Linked DNA regions of Arabidopsis thaliana. The protein of the gene in region 2 interacts with the protein of the main gene of each other region in a pairwise test. Each region holds a gene or a part of one and is shown on either strand. Other genes may lie near its edges.

Region 1 (9,265 bases), on a different chromosome or scaffold from region 2:
TCAGACATTCATCAGCAGGCTTTGGAGTCACTTGAGTGGCATTGAAAAGATTCGCTGGTATGTTCTCGCCTACTTATTGTTTCTACACACTCCCTTGCTTGAAGACATAATTATGATCACTTTCTTCATACTTGCTTGTTTGATAAATAAAAAACTGATAGTTAGGTTATGATTCTGGTTAGAGCTTGTTTTTTTTTTTTTTCTTGAAATAGGAACCAGAGTTATTTTATTTTTGGCTTTGTGTTAAAATTGTCAAGATAACAGAATTAGCAATTTGCTAAATATAGACCATTGAATATCATCAATGCTCATATCCTCCACCAAATTACAGCATACTCCAAAAACTGGCCACACATATAACAACTCACCTTTTCTCTCTTTCATGACCTTTTTTTCTCCCTCTTTTCTTCAACCACAAGCTATCCAACAAACTCCCTCATTCCTTCTTATCTTTGTTCCTCCTCATCCCCCTCTCTTCTCTCTCTCCTTCCCACCCAGGAGGGATGGAGATAAGAAAGAAACCAAACATATTCACGGTTCTCGTCATTGATTTTTCTTCAAAGCCTTCCATGGCTCTCCTTCTGGCTATTCTCCTTTTCCTCTCAGGCCCTTCTGCATCTGCGGTAGCTGCAGCTGCTGTGGGACCTGCTACTGGTTTTAAACCGGCAGATGATATTCTCATTGATTGTGGAAGCAAATCGTCATCAAAAACCCCTGATGGAAGAGTCTTTAAGAGTGACCAAGAAACAATCCAATACATAGAAGCCAAGGAAGATATTCAGGTCTCAGCCCCGCCTTCAGACAAGGTCGCATCTCCTATCTACCTAACTGCAAGGATCTTCCGTGAGGAAGCCACCTACAAATTCCATTTGACTCGACCTGGTTGGCATTGGGTTCGCCTGCATTTCTTGGCCTTCCCTAATGACAAGTTCGATCTCCAACAAGCAACCTTTTCCGTTTTAACGGAGAAATATGTGCTGCTTCATAACTTCAAAATAAGTAACAACAACAATGATAGTCAAGCTGCTGTTCAGAAGGAGTATCTCGTCAACATGACAGATGCTCAATTCGCCCTCAGGTTCAGACCTATGAAAAGCTCTGCAGCGTTCATCAACGCTATCGAAGTCGTGTCAGCTCCAGACGAACTGATCTCTGATTCTGGCACTGCCCTTTTCCCTGTCATTGGGTTCTCGGGTCTGTCTGACTACGCTTACCAGTCTGTTTATAGAGTCAATGTCGGCGGTCCCTTGATCATGCCTCAGAATGATACATTAGGAAGAACCTGGATACCCGATAAGGAATTCTTGAAAGATGAGAACTTGGCAAAGGACGTTAAAACAACCCCTTCGGCAATCAAGTACCCACCGGAAGTTACACCTTTGATTGCTCCACAGACGGTTTATGCAACAGCTGTAGAAATGGCTAATTCTCTCACCATAGACCCTAATTTTAACGTCTCCTGGAATTTCCCCTCCAACCCATCGTTTAACTACCTTATCCGGCTTCATTTCTGTGATATCGTTAGCAAGTCTCTCAATGACCTGTACTTTAATGTGTACATTAACGGGAAAACTGCCATTTCTGGACTGGATTTGTCCACTGTCGCTGGGAATCTAGCTGCTCCTTACTACAAAGACATCGTTGTGAACGCAACACTTATGGGCCCTGAGCTCCAAGTCCAGATTGGTCCCATGGGAGAAGATACAGGGACCAAAAACGCGATCTTGAACGGTGTTGAGGTTCTGAAGATGAGCAATTCCGTGAACAGCCTTGATGGAGAGTTTGGAGTGGATGGTAGAACCACTGGCATGGGGAAGCATGGTATGGTAGCAACCGCGGGGTTTGTGATGATGTTTGGAGCTTTCATTGGTCTGGGAGCCATGGTTTACAAGTGGAAGAAGAGGCCACAAGATTGGCAGAAGAGAAATAGTTTCTCCTCTTGGTTGCTACCAATACATGCTGGTGATAGCACTTTCATGACAAGCAAAGGTGGTTCTCAGAAATCCAACTTCTACAACTCAACACTTGGTCTCGGCCGCTATTTCTCCCTTTCAGAGCTTCAAGAAGCCACAAAGAACTTTGAAGCATCCCAGATTATCGGTGTTGGAGGATTCGGTAACGTCTACATTGGAACCCTCGACGATGGAACCAAAGTCGCTGTCAAAAGAGGTAATCCACAGTCTGAACAAGGAATCACTGAGTTTCAGACAGAGATCCAGATGCTTTCTAAGCTCAGACACAGACACTTGGTCTCCTTGATTGGTTACTGTGACGAGAACTCTGAGATGATCTTAGTCTATGAGTTCATGTCCAATGGTCCATTCAGGGACCACTTGTATGGAAAGAACCTTGCTCCTCTAACCTGGAAACAAAGACTCGAGATATGTATCGGATCTGCACGTGGGCTTCACTACTTACACACAGGAACAGCTCAGGGGATTATCCACCGTGATGTCAAATCCACCAACATTCTTCTCGATGAAGCTTTAGTTGCAAAAGTCGCTGACTTTGGTCTTTCTAAAGATGTAGCTTTTGGACAAAACCATGTCAGCACGGCCGTGAAAGGAAGTTTCGGGTACTTAGACCCGGAGTACTTTAGAAGACAACAACTTACCGACAAATCCGATGTTTATTCCTTTGGTGTCGTTCTTCTAGAAGCTCTGTGCGCAAGACCAGCCATCAATCCTCAGCTACCAAGAGAGCAGGTTAACTTAGCTGAATGGGCGATGCAATGGAAACGAAAAGGACTTCTTGAAAAGATCATTGATCCTCATTTGGCTGGAACGATTAATCCTGAATCGATGAAGAAGTTTGCTGAAGCTGCAGAGAAGTGTTTAGAAGACTACGGTGTCGATAGGCCAACAATGGGAGATGTTCTGTGGAACTTGGAGTATGCTCTTCAGCTTCAAGAGGCATTCACTCAGGGCAAAGCAGAAGAGACCGAGAACGCTAAGCCTGATGTGGTGACACCTGGCTCGGTGCCTGTGTCTGATCCATCTCCGATCACTCCCTCAGTCACCACCAACGAAGCGGCTACTGTTCCGGTTCCTGCTAAGGTGGAAGAGAACAGTGGCACGGCCGTGGATGAACACTCTGGAACAGCCATGTTTACTCAGTTTGCTAACCTTAACGGAAGATAAAAACAAACTAACAGATAAATAATTAAAAAAGGACATAAAGAATGCACCAAACCGAATTTGTCGTTATAAACAGTAATTGCAATAGAAAAAACTTGACTTTTTAAGGTGATATATTTGTTTCTTTGTATGTTTTTTTGGTGGTGGTCGGGGAGATGTGTGTGATATTTCTATATTTTGGTGTATTTTATAAAATTTATATATTTTTTGTATGAAGTGTAATTTTGTGGGTGGATATGTATATGTATGTATGTGTACTTCTAAATGCTCTGCTGCATTTACTTTACTTATCCTCCTTCATTGTAGTTGTTAATATTAGCTTACAAATACAAATTCACATTGAAACATAAGTGTGTGTGAATCTTACTTGAAATTTACATCATTTTGTACACACAGGAAACAAAAAGTTCTCTTTTTGTATTCTAAGAAAGTTGGTTTTACAGTCTGGACTCTGAGCATCTGTTTCAGAGTAGACCAGAAAAGATCTGTTTCAGAGTAAAAAAATTTTTATCATCTGGTTTTGCAAATGAATCTCTTCTCTAAGAAAGTACCTAAACATTAACTGGGGAATAATGTGTTCGTTCTCCCATAGTCTTTGGAAAAAAAGGGTAACCTATTCTCGTACTTTGTTGTCTAGTGTAAACTCTAGTTAAAGCTGTCACATTTGAACCTGAATTAGTAATATTAAGGAAAAGGAACTCAATGGTTTGTGTGTTGTTATATATTGGATTCAAGCTTTGATTCATTGAATGGAATTTTAGTGTTTGGTTTACGACCTCTGTTAGTTAATAATCATAGACACCATTTCCTTCTTTAGATGGGTTAGTTTGGTTCTAATCAGGGAAAGCCATTAATTTTTCCATCTAATCATTGTAGAAACCTTGCAATATTGTGTATATGTAAACATACACAATCGTAAATGTTTGGATATCAAACTCTTCACAAGTGTTTGTAGGAGAGGAAGTATAGGTGAGAAAAGATTAGGGTCAGTCACAGATTCTGCAAAAAGTAAGAGAACCATGAAAGTAAAATAAAACATAAACCCAGAAATAGAAACCATTCCCTTCAATTAAGCAAATGAGTTCTCTTTCCTTTTCTCTTCTTATGTGTATATATAGAAATGAATAGCTTAAATTTTCCCACAAAAGCCAAAGAGACCCAAATTATTGTTTTATTTTGTTTTTGTTACCTCGCTTATATCTATTATCATGGAAAACATAAGTGGGTTGGCTTTTGATATGGGAGAGCTAAGAAACAACCTTCCCAAAAAGTAAAATCCTGAAAAAGGATTTCATTGATTATGATTGTTTGTTTAAGTTATGGAAATCCGGATTACTATCTAATTTTGGATTTTGTGAATGGTTGTAAAATAGGAGAGGATTATCAAGGTACTATTCAGGAAAAGCGAGATCATTCATATGTATCTCAGATGTAAAATGCCTTGAGGATCTGAAGAAACCAACCCAAACTTTTGATGACGATGATGATGATGAGGCTTACAAGAAGAGGAAGAAGAAGAACAAGCAATCATCTTCATCTTCATTTTCTGCAGCTATTAACAGCAATGTGAATTTCTCAAACTACCCTTGTCGAAGGGTCTCTAGTAGCACCCACTGTTCCTCACCTTGTGTTGCTTAGGAAAAAAGAAGCTTACACTTTCTCAATTTATTTAGTAGCTCCTTTGGTTTTTATTCTCAACCCAACACTGAAAACACAAACTTCAGTTCAGTGTGTGGGGGCGTCATTCATATCCAATTTTTGATTTTCTTTACTGTTTTTATGTCTTTTTTTTGTGGTTATCTTTTTTTCTTGCGCAAATTATGTAGATTTGGATGTGTTTGTTCCAATTTGCTTATTGGGACAAAAATGTTGGAAATCCTTTCGAATGTAATCATACGTACGCATAGAATTGAATAATAAGTGAATAAATATAGAATTGAAAGGTTCTTAAAATATTCCTTAGCATTTCCTATTTATCTGAAAACATGCAACACACAAAGACAAAGTCAGGACAAGTCATAATGAGTAATTGCTTACGTGGCTAATTTTACATGATTCACGACAAAAGGGAGCGGCCTAGAGGCGCGTATCACACACGCGCTTCCACTTAAAAGCTGACGTGGTCAATTGGCTATCTGACATTCTATTTACCCATTTTCTCCCTTTCTTTCCTCTATATTCACGATCCTGCCATTGTACACCCAATCATACGCTCCTGAGATCCTCATGACTTGTTCTTACCGTACTCCGCGAGACATGCGATTGATGATTCTTGACTGTATTCATTGAGAAAAACTGTTCGCAAAAACCTTGAGCTTCATCATCGTCCATTACTCACCTTTCAGTTTCAGATGCCCAAGCAAAAAGCTCCAAGGAAGCAGCTCAAGTCCTATAAACTCAAACACATCAACAAGAGTATTCAAGGTACGTCTGACTTGTTCATCCTCAATTTGAAATTCGTGGATATTGAAAGTGAATCGTTCGATGTTGTTTTGTGGTTAAAAAGAGGGAGATGCTGTGTTGATGCGGTCGTCGGAGCCTGGAAAACCGTCGTACGTAGCGAGGGTAGAGGCGATCGAGACGGACGCGCGTGGATCGCACGCGAAAGTTCGTGTGAGGTGGTATTATCGCCCTGAGGAATCTATCGGAGGGAGGAGACAATTCCATGGAGCCAAGGAGGTTTTTCTCTCTGACCACTTCGATTTTCAAAGCGCCGATACGATTGAAGGAAAGTGTAAGGTTCACAGTTTCAGTAGCTACACCAAACTTGACTCTGTTGGAAACGACGACTTCTTCTGTCGTTTCGAGTACAATTCCACTACCGGCGCGTTTGATCCTGACAGAGTCACCGTGTATGTGTTCCTACGACTCTCTGTTACTTTATTCGAGAAGAAAATACTGATTGAATGATGGAACTATTATCGGTTGAATTGAGGCTTTTTTGGAAATTAGATTGTGTTGCTTTAGTGTAGGCATTGATTGTTAATAATTCATTGATTTGTCATCTAAATTGGTTTCATGAAGTTGTTTTTGCAAAGAGAAGTAATCAATTGAGTTTAAATTGATTTTTTCTGTTTGCAGGTTCTGCAAGTGTGAGATGCCGTATAACCCAGATGACTTGATGGTGCAATGCGAGGAGTGTTCTGAGTGGTAAGTGTTCACTTATTTGAAACTCTGTTTTAATCTTCTTGAGTCACAATCTGGAATTGCTCGTATGTTTTTCGTGTATCCATGAGGTCCTAGTTGATATGCTATTGAGGTTGCTTGAGATGAATGCTTTTGTCATGCTTTACTTCGGTGATGCTCTTCCTTACTCATGTTCATGTTTTGTCTTATCTGATATTGTGGAAACTGCAGATGAATAGGAACATAAGCTGATACTCTAGTCTGAACGTTTGTAATATCTGTGATTAACATTCTAATGTATATGTTGCGGATTTTCAAATTTTCTTACACGTTACTGATTGAGTCGCTGTTAAGGTTTGGGTTTTTCTGCAGCTTCTTAGTTTGTGCCTTGGGTCTTTCACCCATGTTAGCTTGCTATATGACACAAGTAACGTAAATGAAGTCATACTGAAACAAATAGTGATCGTTTGATCTTGGAAGTTGGAACTGTTAAGTGTTAAGCTTAATCTTTTTACTTTTTTTTTTGTAAAGAGAGGATTAAGGTTTTTTGTTTCGAATGTCTTTGTCAGTTGCCTTTGATGTTACAGCAAACTAACATTGGCTCAGGTTTCATCCTTCTTGTATAGGAACAACAATAGAGGAAGCTAAAAAGCCAGATAACTTCTACTGCGAAGAGTGTTCCCCACAACAGCAGAATTTGCACAACTCTAATTCAACTTCCAATAACAGAGATGCTAAGGTATTTCTCTATTTCTCATTTCAGAAAATATCTTTAGTTTTTGAGGGATGGTCAAACCCGTTGCAAATAGGCTTGAATAAATTTAAGGTATTTAAGTTGACCGTTCGTTCCACATATAAAGCTAGCCTTGCCAACAATTGTAAGCTCTTGGACTGATAAAATATACCAACTTAAGGCAGAATAAACACATAAACCCAAAGTATATGTGTCATTAAGGTCAAAGACAACCTTGTGAAATGTTTTGTCCTAACTAACAGGTGAATGGAAAGCGCAGCCTGGAGGTAACTAAATCGAAGAACAAACACACTAAGCGACCAGGTTAACATAAACTTGTAAAGGCTATAGATATCTGGTTGGTGAGTCTGAGTATCAATCGTGTAATCTACAAAGGTGGTTTTGTTTTCTTTCCCTCTCTAGTTTTTTCTTTCTTAAAAAATGAGGGTTTAGGTTTGTTGGCTTGATTGTTGTATAATTTATATGTATAGCGTATGGTGGTTTCTCATCTCCTTTAGTTGTCACATATAAAATTTGGGTAAAATGGTTTGTTTATAATAAGAAAACAAAACAAACAAACAAACAAAGAGAGTGTTGGTTCCTTATTTGTTTGTTTTCATTGTGAACTCTAGAAACCCTTCATTCTTTATTAGTTTTTCATTCTTTATTAATTCTAAAACGCATATTCAAAGAGACATATTTGATCATCGTGTCTTCATAATTTGGTTCAAAGTACAGCCAAAAACCAGGAGGTACACTAAAAATCAATAAAATTACATTACAAATTATTTTTAGTACACTGGGAACATAAATAAATGAATCAGAGAAGAGAAACATGGCAACTACCGATCATGAGCTTCTACATTTGTCTCAGAAAAAGAGGAAGATAGAACTATTTTTTAAAGTTTTTAGAAAAGAGAGAATTAATATTATCCAAGACAACACGGCACTGCTAACAACAAGTTGAACCTATCCCATTCCATTACTCCATACCCATTCAATGATTAACACGTGGTTCTACATCATTGGTTAACTCTCTCCTTTCCCCTTGGATAAGGCATCTTAAAATAATAATAAATACCATAAATATCTTCCGATTTTTTCTCCGACTATAATAATGATGACAACAATATCTTTTAAAATTATCTTAAAAGAAACCGAAAGCTAATCTCCAAAGGGAAAAAGACGTGTAGCAGAGACCTATACATACACCTATACATTCACGTTGCGTGTGATAATCTACTGAGGGTTCTATCTATATTAATCCTTCTCTGCTTCCTTCAATCTAATTGCAAATCAAATGGATCGTCTTAAGCTTTATTTCTCCGTTTTCGTTTTGTCTTTCTTTATCGTCTCGGTTTCGTCGTCTGATGTCAACGACGGCGATGATCTCGTGATCCGTCAGGTGGTTGGTGGAGCCGAGCCTCAGGTTTTGACCTCAGAGGATCACTTTTCTCTCTTCAAGCGGAAGTTCGGGAAGGTCTACGCTTCCAACGAGGAGCATGACTATAGATTCTCGGTTTTCAAAGCGAATCTCAGGCGAGCGAGGCGTCACCAGAAGTTGGATCCGTCGGCGACTCATGGTGTTACGCAGTTCTCAGATCTGACTCGGTCTGAGTTCCGTAAGAAGCACTTGGGGGTTAGAAGTGGCTTTAAGCTTCCTAAAGATGCCAACAAGGCTCCGATTCTCCCTACCGAAAATCTCCCTGAGGATTTTGATTGGAGAGATCATGGCGCCGTTACTCCCGTCAAAAATCAGGTATTTTACTCGATGATGTCGCAAATTGATGTCTTATCGAATTCGTTGACTCTGGATCAAACTTCAATTCGTTTCTTTGTGCTGATTTGGTCTAATCCTGGTGTACAAATTAGGGATCTTGCGGCTCTTGCTGGAGTTTCAGCGCCACTGGAGCTTTGGAAGGTGCTAACTTCCTCGCTACCGGCAAACTCGTCAGCCTCAGCGAACAACAGCTCGTCGACTGTGATCACGAGGTTTGTCTTTTCTTTCTCTTGAGTCTTGGGATGAGTTTGAAGGACACTGAACATGACTGTGTTGATGTTTGATCACTTATCAATCAATATGTTATCCTAGATATTCACAGTTCTCTCCGGATATGTTGAGATGATAAAACTCACTACTTAGTTCAGGTTGCTTACTTTTAATGATCTTGTTTCTCGTCAGTGCCTAGGGAAGATTCATAATATGACCATAATGGTTAACATGATCTCTGTGAAACTAATCTGATAATTGTTGCTATCATCTCCTTAT
Region 2 (10,073 bases):
TTTTTTTTCGTAAAAGGCAAAATATCAAAACTTATTTAGGAGAATTTGACCACAAAATATTTCATATGTATTTCTAAACTAATATAATTTCTTCTTATTTTATTGTTACTATATTTTTTCTTTTTTTTGTAAGTTAGAAACCTATTAAAAACACTATTTGGGTGATAAGTTATTGAAATTTAGTGATAACTTTTTTCATTATGGTAGATTGTATTAGTTAAAGTAACTTTGATGATAGATCTTAGTTCAAATTTTTTTTTTGTTTCTCATAGTGTTTGTAGTAAATGATGTGTTATTGACTTATTGTTAAACATATATTGGATATATAAATAATATATCATTTAATATGTATTGTCAATAGCTAGCTCAAAACTACGAAATATTGGAATTGAATACAAATGATATTGAATTGAAGTAACACAACATTGTCGGCCTTCTTCTCGTGTGTTAGCCTACTTGCCAACCCAATTCCATTATCTCCACACTTTGCATTACATGTGACACATGTGTGAAGTGTAAATAATATATCAACTATCAGGCATCATAATTCTTTAAATAAATCAAGATTGGTAAAAAATATTACAATAATTTAAACTTTTAACATTTGTTACTAAAAATATCAACGATAACACAATTTACAAACGTTAATAAATTTGTTACAGACAAGGCAATTTTTATTTTCGAAAACATAATAAAATACATTGGGCCATATTAAATCGGCCCATTAAGTTCACTATAACTTAGAACTTAGAAGCCTTTATTGCTTCCCTCTCAATTTCCATTTTTTTTTTGGTTCTTTTTTTCTTTCTGCAATCGGTCGTCGTCGTTGTGCTTAAACCCTTACCGGAATGGAGCCGCCGGCGAAAGGAACGGTGACGCCGTTAGGATTTTCAGAGGAGGATGTTCGAAAAGCAGCAAGTTACATGGAGGAGAAAATCGGAGAGAAGCGAGTAGAGATGAATCGTCTTCAACAGTACGTCGACGAAAACGATAATCTCATCAATCTCGTCAAGAAGCTTCCCGATCAGCTTCATCACAACGTTATGGTGAATTTTTAATCCTTTGACTTCCTCTCCTTATGATTCAATTTTGCTCCCGTTTAATGTAGTTGGTGCTTTTGTGTAAACAGGTTCCATTCGGTAAAATGGCTTTTTTCCCAGGTCGATTGATTCACACCAACGAGTGTTTGGTAAGTTTCATGATGATTATATGTTCTCTCTTCTCGATTTCAATGGCAGGATACATGTAATTTGATTCTAGTATCGTTTTGCTATGAGGTTTAAGAGTAAGCTATTGAGGTTAGTGTAAATTTCAAATTTAAAGGATTATGTTTTGTGATTTCATATAGGTGTTGTTGGGAGAGAATTACTATACTGATAGATCATCGAAACAAACTGTTGATTTCCTGAAGAGAAGAGACAAGACTTTACAGTCTCAAATTCATTCTCTTAAAGCTGAGATTGAAGATCTTCAAACGGAGGCTTCATTCTTCACTACAACTGCTTCTGAAGTAGCGGTAGGTTTTGCTGAAAGAGTGGATCGTGTGTTCCTTTTTCTTGATTCTGCATATGTATCTTAACCGGTGTTATCATTTTTTATAGGATGGACTTGTTGAGATAAGAGAAGAGTATGTAGAAGAAGATTCTTCTGCACCTGTTGTGATACATTCAAGTGAAAAAGAGCCTTGTAATCTTTCTGAAGGAGAGACTGAAGAAGGTGAACTTGAAGACGATGACTTTGCAAGAATCATGGCCAGGTTGAATGAACTTGAAATAGAGGAAGAACTGGAGGGTGAAGATGGGGATAGTAGAGGTGAAGATCCTGATTCTTCAGTAGAAAGTGTGGAACAGATCCAGCATGATTTGGTGAAAGGAAGTAGAGGTGAGACAGACCGTGGTAGGGTTGAATACGGGAAACAAGAAACTACCATATCTGTTCCTAACAAAGCTTCCGGTCATAGCTCTTCACCGAGGGTCTCAGAGGTATTTTCCAAGGAAATTTAACATCTGGGTTCATGTTTATGGTTAATGGGTTTTCCTAAAGTTTATTTACTTATAATCCAGCCAAGGGTCGAAGCCAAAATTATTCAAGTGTTACCAGAGACACATCCACACAAAGATCTAGATGATCCGCTGAATGTAAGAAAACCCCTTCACTTTGATGTTCTCTGATTTCATTAGCGTTTTACAGCTCCTTCTCAGATATTGCCTGTTATTGCAGCGTATCCGACCAATGGCACAATATCTTTCCAAAGGTTAGCGTTATGATCTAAAGCATTTCAGACATCAGAAAAGTGTCAAATTAATATATTCAACATTGAATCATCTTCCTGAAAACAATTCTCTAACCAACATCTATGTTCTTTTATTACCAGAAGGTCAATCACGTGGCGGAACCCCTCAGCAAAACGCTGAAACATGGAAAGACTTTCGAACGAATGCAAAAACCAATGTTTTAGGACCACAAAAGATTGAGGTATTTAGATCTATATTCGAAATCAAGCTAACTACCTTGCATTATGGACATGTTTTCTGCAACAAAACTTATCATTCACAAGCATCTCACAAATAATCATGCCAACTTTTTTTGGGTGCAGCCACAGAAGCCAGAGCCCGAGTTTGATTCTACCAAGGTTACATACACATCTCTTTCGGCCAAGCGTTAGCAAGTTGTATAGTTGCTCAGATAGATCTGATTTTCCTTTAAGCTCACTAAATTTCTGATCCAACTCGTGCAGGCTTTTACTGGATCAATCGTAGAGCATGCCCATATTCTAGAGACCAGCGCACACAGCCAAACGCAGGTACTTTTTAATCACTCGAACTACACAACACTCATAAATGCAGGAAACATGATTCTTATTACATTTTTTTTGTTTGTTATCTTGTTATATGTCAACAGTCTTCTACGTCTCAACCGTCTAAACCAGTGTCGAGATTCAGGGCGAAGAGAAGGTAGCCAGTCAGCTCTGTGTACAATTTTTTGTTGAGTTGCCTTTATGATATGTAAGAAGTAAGAACACATGCAAATGTGCGCAACCTTGTAAGCTTACTCTATATACAGTTAATTAACAAAATCTACATAAAAAAATCTGACATTGTTACTTGACTCTTTCTAAAAAGTCTTGAAGTAGCTTCTCTCTGTCAAATGGAGACGCTGACAATACCCATCTACTAAACTCCAATATCTCCATGCCTTTAAACTCGGCTAACATCTTGTACTTCTCTCGTTTTTGTTCCCTATTTGAAGAAGACATATCCTCCTCTTCACTACAACCTTTTCTCTTCTTTTTCTTTCGATCCGCACTGTTACCGTCTCCATTTAACCTCTGAGATGTTGATGTTGTTGTCTCTCCAATGTTGATGATGTCTTCATTTCGATGTGCATACACAATGCCTATATAAAGAGTCACACAAGCCCGACCAAATATTGTAAAGACTTAAGAAAATGTAGTCAAGGATAGATGAGCACAGATCAGTCTTATTCTTACCCAAGTCCTTAAGGATAGGTTTCTCCATTTCGGGTTTGTAAGAGCACATGACCTCTTCTTCTTTTTCATCTTCTGAAACACCTGTCTCAAGCAGTGATCTCTTCTTATTCTCATCGATGTTACTATCCCTATGCAACTCAACAATATCGCTAGTGAAGAGCTTATCAGAGAGATCACGGAACAGATTTGAAATCCCGAATAGCTCGCCTTGAAACTCTTTACAGTCCTGATCACAAGACACCAAAACATTAGAATAGCGAACAATCTCTTTAATAAGGCTAATAAATTAAAGACTGTATATTTCTACATACCTGGACGCCTTCAAAGTACCTTGTCTCCATTTTCCCTGCAACCGCAATGTTTGAGAGCTGTTGTTTGTATACTTGTCTTGTATAAACTAGTTCCTCAAGGGAACCAGCACTCAACAAACGAAAAACCACCACATGACGTTTCTGTCCATACCGAAATGATCTATCTTGCGCTTGCAAGTCATGAGACGGGTTCCAATTTGGGTCAAATATAACCACACGGTTCGCGCTCACAAGGTTTAGTCCCAACCCACCAGCTTTAGTTGATATCAGAAAAACCTGACACATAAAAGCTCATTTAATCATCAGATCAGAAGTAGGTAAGAAGAAACATGATCTCTATCGAAAAGGGTTCGGTTAATAAAAACCTGTTTGCTAGGACTCGCATTGAAATCATCCACAAGAGACTGTCGCAGATTAGTTGGAGTAGAACCATCAAGTCTAGCAAAGCTATAACCTTTTCTAATTAGAAACTTTTCCAGTATGTCCAGCATCCTGTAATTTAATGGATCAAAAGCTTGCAACGACAAATATTCTCCTACATTCATCAAACTAAATCCAAAAACTAACCTGACAGAGTAACTGAATAGAAGTATCTTATCACCCTTTGAAATCCAAGAAGCCATCAACTTCTCCAAAGCTCTCATTTTCCCACAATGTTTAACATCACTAAGGTCCATGAAGCTCTTGCTTGCAGATATTCCGCCTAATAGATCAATATCTGTCCCAAACACTGTAGATACAAACTCTGCGTCCTTCTTCTGTTTCTCTGGCTCATCTTTTGGGTTTGGTTTAATAAGCTCCAGATGATTGCTTATCTGCTGAAGTTTCATAAGGCATGGAAGCACCAAGCAGAAAGGACAAGAATCACAACCATCGTGGTTGTCTCGATGAAGGTAACTCCAGATGGTTCCATCAGGAACAATCCTTCTGCAGCACTCTGATTGCTTAAGCGGGCTTCCACAAGCGCATGGATTGTCCTTATTCACAAGGCACTGAATTTCTGGGAGTTGAATCATTCTTTGATAAACCCGTCTCTGCAATTGACTCATTTGACAAAAGACTACATTATCTTCTTTCCCCATCATGAGATGCCCAATGGTTTCCTCCTTTGTCCTCCTCAACATATACTTACGGAGAAGACTGCCCAAATGCTGTTTCCTCTTATCTGCAATCTGGACAAATCTTTCCGGAGCAGTAGCTCTCTGCCCTAGCTTAAGTGGTTCATCATAGAAGTCTCGGAAATGTTCACGAGTGCCTAGTGATCCCGGTGCTACCCACTCAAAAAGATTGAATAGCTCACTGATCTTGTTCTGCATCACTGTACCCGTGAGACCAATCCTCTTCTTAGTCTTGATCTCAAGGCATGCTTCATAAAGTTTCGATTTTTCATTCTTTAACCGGTGTGCCTCATCAGCAATCACTATCTCCCAATTAATCCCGGACAAAACGGGGCCTTGGATTCGAAACGTATCAAAGCTGGTTACAAGTACCTCAACACCGCGTGCCTTGAGTTTCTCCAGAATCATATCTCTGTTTGATCCGTGGTACACCGAAACCTTGAAGAAGCTTGCCCATCGAGAAAACTCACTCTCCCAGTTGTGAATAATCGAAGATGGACAGATTATTAGTACAGGACCCTTATCAGACTCTAAAAGACATGACTCACCAGCGTCACCGTCTTTTCCATACACTGCAGCAAGAAATGCAATTGTCTGAATGGTCTTGCCTAACCCCCTGAGTCAATACTTATTATCAGAGTTCCATTATCACCCAAACATAAACTATTACAGCTACAGATTCAAATGCACAAGAACATTCTCATGTAAGAAGAACTCACATGTCATCGCCAAGAATGCCACCATGGTTGTTTTTATAGAGATTATACATAAACTTCACTCCCTCTCGCTGATGTTCAAGCAATCTACAGTTGATAGAAGCCGGTACCTACAACAAAATCATAAGGCAAATTCAAATAATTTCCAGAATTTGAGAAGAACCATCAACACTTGAGTTCCATTAAACATGAGCAAAAGTTAAAGACTTTGGTAAGAAAATAACATGTATGATCGGAATCTCTCCAATTGATGACAGCATAAGTGGTTCATAAGGACCGGAATAGTCAAATTCAGCCCGGCTTAACCCGGGTCTCCCGAATTCAATTGATCTCTCATCGTCTTCATCTACTTCTTCTTCGTCGAACTTGATGTTTCTTTTGTGATCATCTTCGTTATGATCAAAATCTTCGACTTGGGTTTTTGAGATTTTAGATTCGTGCTTTGAGGGTAAAAAGTAAGAATCATCGAGACGCAGAAGCTGCTGCGAGAGCGACGATTTGGGAGGTTTTCTCGACGGTTCCAATTCTTGTGTGGATGAAACTCGCAACGATGATGATGACGGAAAACTACCACAGGGCTTCAATGTCTCTTTGAAAGTGTGTAACAACGACATCGCTAATCGATCGCGTTGCGAGAGCAAAGGAAAAAGACTTGCTTTTTTCGAGAAACTGAAATAAAGTCGTAATATTTAGCAATTTGAAAACTTACTTGCTGTTATTCTAATTTGAAGAAAATAAGAGGCTAGAAAGGGAAATACATTATACATGTGCAGTTTTAATGGGCCAAATACGGATAGAAACGAAGCCCAAACTGTACTTGTGGCAGTAATAATGGGCCGAGTTCGAATAGCATCCAAGAGAAGCCCAAATATTATTTGTTTCCAAACATGCTTTTAGGTTTAGGGTTTCTCGTGCATCTCTTATATATAGCAATCTCCTTCTTGATAACGCCGAGAAAAGTCACCATTTGTCGATTCAACCCAATCTTGGTTTTTGGTTTTTCTTTAATGTTTTGGTGAATTATTTGATTTTCAAGAGGTTTTGTGTAGAATATGATGAAAGTTGTATATCGGTGATGGTCTTTTGATTCATATGATCGACAAAAATTTCAACTCGCTACGTTCTTTCTGATTCTTACAAAAGTTGGATTTTTTATATTTTTGTTTGACGGTTTTGGAGAATTCTCTCGACGTTTTTGTTTAAATTGGATTTGTATCTTTTGGTATTGGAAAAATAGTAATGCTGGAGAAATGATGAGAAATCAGATAAATCTTAGGACACCTTCTGACACAGATTCTGTGTATGAGAATGACATCATATTCTGATCTTCAGTTAAATTTCTTTTTTCGTTTCAAAAACAAGTTTTTCCGTTCTGTTTGTAATTGAATTTTATGGTTTTGAAGATAGGTTACCTTAATTCTCGGTTTATTAAGTGGATAATTCAATTTGAATCTACGGATGTTCTTAAGCTGCAAAGAGAGATTGTGATTCTGAGGCAACCAAATATTACAATTAAACCTTATAATTACAACGGAACAACAATCAATTTTAGAAGGAATAATGAATTCAAAGGGATTTTGTATATATGTACACACAGCGAACTCTATACGAACAGTAGTGGTTTATGCCTTTAAGCCGATCACATCAACTCAATTTATGAAACCAATAGATTATAGTGACAAATCTGACTCAACTGATTCGGCTTTTTAGAACGCTCAATAATTTGGCTCTTCCAATGATTTCAGCCTTGTGGTGTCTTGAGTGCCTGTCTATTGAATTCCTGAAGCTGTCTGTCATGTTCTTCAAGCATCTGGTCCACTCTGCTTGGCTGAGCCAACAATGGTCCTGACATGTAAATCTTGCTATCACTAGGATTATACTGAAACACAACAATGAATGTTAGTAAAAGAAAACAGCTGCTCTGATACGAGAAAATAAAAAAACAGAGATCATTAACTAACCCAAGATGGGTCAATTGGTGCTGTCATATGTCTACTATCCATAGTATCAGCTCTATTGTATGCTCGCCGATCTCTTCTTCTTTGGTTCGTGACTGGTTGATCTTGCCGTTCTAATAATGTTTTGGAGGAGACTGAGCCTGATAACATCTTCGGGTTTACTCTAGCTGGAGGGTATCTAGGAAGTGCATTCTCCTTCACATGCATTGTTGACTTAGCCATGTTCCGGTTGCTCATCAATGGACCTGAGTGTGAAATTCTCACACCAGTTTGATTGTTTCTGTTGTGCTGCATATTTTGATAATCAGGAACTGGTCCATGAGGAGTCCTCTCCTCCTTAAACGACTTGAAACTATCGTTCCTACTCCTCAAATCTTTATATTGTTTCTGCATTTGCCAAAAGAGTGATTTGCTTTACAGTTAGTTACCTCCACGGTCATTGTGACCATAAAAGCTAGGACCTTTTACAGTTACTTACCTCCATTGTCATTGACAGAGAGTTATTTGCTTTGACCGGTGGTACAAATTTTCTCTCGTGTGATATTCTCGTCATAGAGTCTTGTCTTTCTTGTTTCTCCGCCCTCATAGGTTGTTGCCTTTTCGCTTCATCACGCATTTTCGCATCAATCTCTTTACTAGGAGGATATTTTGGTAAGTTCGATGGATCGCAAGCAAACGGCTTGGTTTTGAAGTACTGACAAAAGAACAGAGTTTTGTCACTAATGCTTCCATGATCTCAGTAAACCAAGAACATAGTAAAACATCATGAACCAGTTACCTCACTCTCAAGGGCACGATCTGCAGAGCTCCGGTGATCAGGATCTATGGAGAGTAAAGTCTCTAAAAGTGAAAGAACACTTGCAGGAAAGTCCTTAAACATCTCTGATACTTTCCGCCTATAAGGAATCGCGGTTTTGAATCCAGCTGAAGATGGTAACTTCTGTTTTCTCCAGTAATTTTCTGTTGGTGAACCGCAAAGCTTGAAGATTTTATGCAATTGTTCTACCTAGAAAGATTAAGGGCTACATTTGAGTTGAAGCAAACAAGATGCAACCTGAATTTGGAGGAAATGAAATCTACGAGAATTTGCATACCTCGGTTTTTCCAGGGAGGATCGGTTTACCGGCATATAATTCACCTAAGATGCAACCTGTGCTCCATAAATCAACCCCAACACCGTAATGAGAGGCTCCAAGCAAAAGTTCTGGTGGCCGGTACCAAAGAGTGACAACATGGCTAGTCAATGAAACACTTTTTGCAGGGTCGAAAAAAGTTGCTAACCCAAAATCTGCTATCTTCAAGACTCCCTTACTGTCAATTAGTAGGTTTGAGCCTTTTATATCACGGTGAAGAACGCCACGGCTGTGACAATGTTCAAGCCCACTTAGAAGTTGTCGCATGTAACATTTAACCTAAACAACAGAAACATAAAAGAAACGGATTTTGAAGCGGAAAGAAAAATCTATGCTTTTGACATTAGGGTAGCTCAACATTTATGTGCAGTACCTGAGGCTCTGTAAACTTGACACCAGGTAGTGAAGAAAGTCCTAAGAGATCATGATCCATGTACTCAAAAACTAAGTAAAGGGACGATGAGACAGGGGCAGTGATCAATCCTTCCAATTTCAGGACATTAGGATGATCAAGCCGTCGCATTACTATGATCTCTCTTGCCATAAACTTAACACTTTCCATATCGTTAAGATCAAACCGGACTTTTTTTAGCGCAACAATCTTGTTATGAAGAAGATCGCGAGCTCTGTATACGCTGCTATATGTTCCTTGGCCAATCTGCATCCATAAGAAAGAAGGTTCTATTAAACAGAAACAGGATCTGGACCAAAGAGTGGTAACAAAAGAAACTTACTTTCTCCAGCTTTTCAAAAGTATTTGCTCGTCGTGGAGCCCAATCCACTAGTGACTCACCAGCAACAGAGACCAGCCAAGACGGCCATCCTGCTGCCACTTGCTTCCGCTCTGCATCCTTTGGACTAACAATGCTTGAACCCCTCTTCAGTTCCCGATGAACCACTCGAACCGAAGCTTCAACCTCAGGTTTCTCTACTCCCTTCTCTATCTGATGATGCTCAGAAAACATGCTAGAACTCAACTTTTCAGATTCAATCAACCGAACTTTGGAATCTTTGCTATTCCATCTATCTAGCTTGGCCTTAACAACCTTTGGATCAATATCCAAGTCCGAGTCTACAACAGCACTAGAGGCCCTTCTCAATTCCTGATCATGCACAACTCTATCCATATGAGCAACTGTCGCAGGATTCTCTAATATCTTCCCAATCTGATGATCATGACACCTACTTGTACTAAACATTTCGGATTCAATCAACCTAACTTTAGCATCTCCACTGTTACTCAATCTATCAAACCCATCTTCCGGTTGAATCCAATCATCAATCCTCCTCGACGAATCAATCCGAGAGGAACGTTTCTCCTCTGATGACTCTTTCAGTGTTGTTGAC

The links.
Region 1: the proteins of SWI2 (region 2) and SHL1 interact in a two-hybrid assay, tested with the Arabidopsis thaliana proteins (one large-scale study listed by BioGRID).

What each region holds. Positions count from the first base shown.
Region 1 is NC_003075.7:18,216,358-18,225,622, reverse strand, and holds SHL1 (PHD finger family protein / bromo-adjacent homology (BAH) domain-containing protein), read left to right. Parts: upstream 1-5,298; 5' UTR 5,299-5,488; coding exon 5,489-5,561; intron 5,562-5,643; coding exon 5,644-5,989; intron 5,990-6,218; coding exon 6,219-6,287; intron 6,288-6,869; coding exon 6,870-7,002; intron 7,003-7,259; coding exon 7,260-7,325; 3' UTR 7,326-7,994; downstream 7,995-9,265. Other genes in the region: IMPL2 (inositol monophosphatase family protein), read left to right, coding at 1-45; AT4G39110 (Malectin/receptor-like protein kinase family protein), read left to right, coding at 504-3,140; RD19 (Papain family cysteine protease), read left to right, coding at 8,297-8,755, 8,869-8,988. UniProt on the Arabidopsis thaliana protein: Chromatin remodeling factor that binds to methylated histone (e.g. H3K4me2/3) to prevent their acetylation (e.g. H3K9K14Ac), likely by recruiting histone deacetylase (HDAC) complexes, and thus regulate the transcription of target genes.
Region 2 is NC_003070.9:934,096-944,168, reverse strand, and holds SWI2 (switch 2), read right to left. Parts: upstream 6,344-10,073; 5' UTR 6,250-6,343; coding exon 5,860-6,249; intron 5,746-5,859; coding exon 5,639-5,745; intron 5,536-5,638; coding exon 4,369-5,535; intron 4,294-4,368; coding exon 4,167-4,293; intron 4,078-4,166; coding exon 3,802-4,077; intron 3,717-3,801; coding exon 3,491-3,716; intron 3,397-3,490; coding exon 3,101-3,396; 3' UTR 3,007-3,100; downstream 1-3,006. Other genes in the region: AT1G03760 (Prefoldin chaperone subunit family protein), read left to right, coding at 849-1,046, 1,130-1,189, 1,349-1,516, 1,602-1,982, 2,064-2,138, 2,221-2,254, 2,375-2,475, 2,597-2,632 and 2 more; AT1G03740 (Protein kinase superfamily protein), read right to left, coding at 7,377-7,514, 7,597-7,980, 8,072-8,287, 8,372-8,599, 8,688-9,005, 9,100-9,384, 9,461-10,073. UniProt on the Arabidopsis thaliana protein: May be involved in early DNA damage response. Probable chromatin remodeling factor.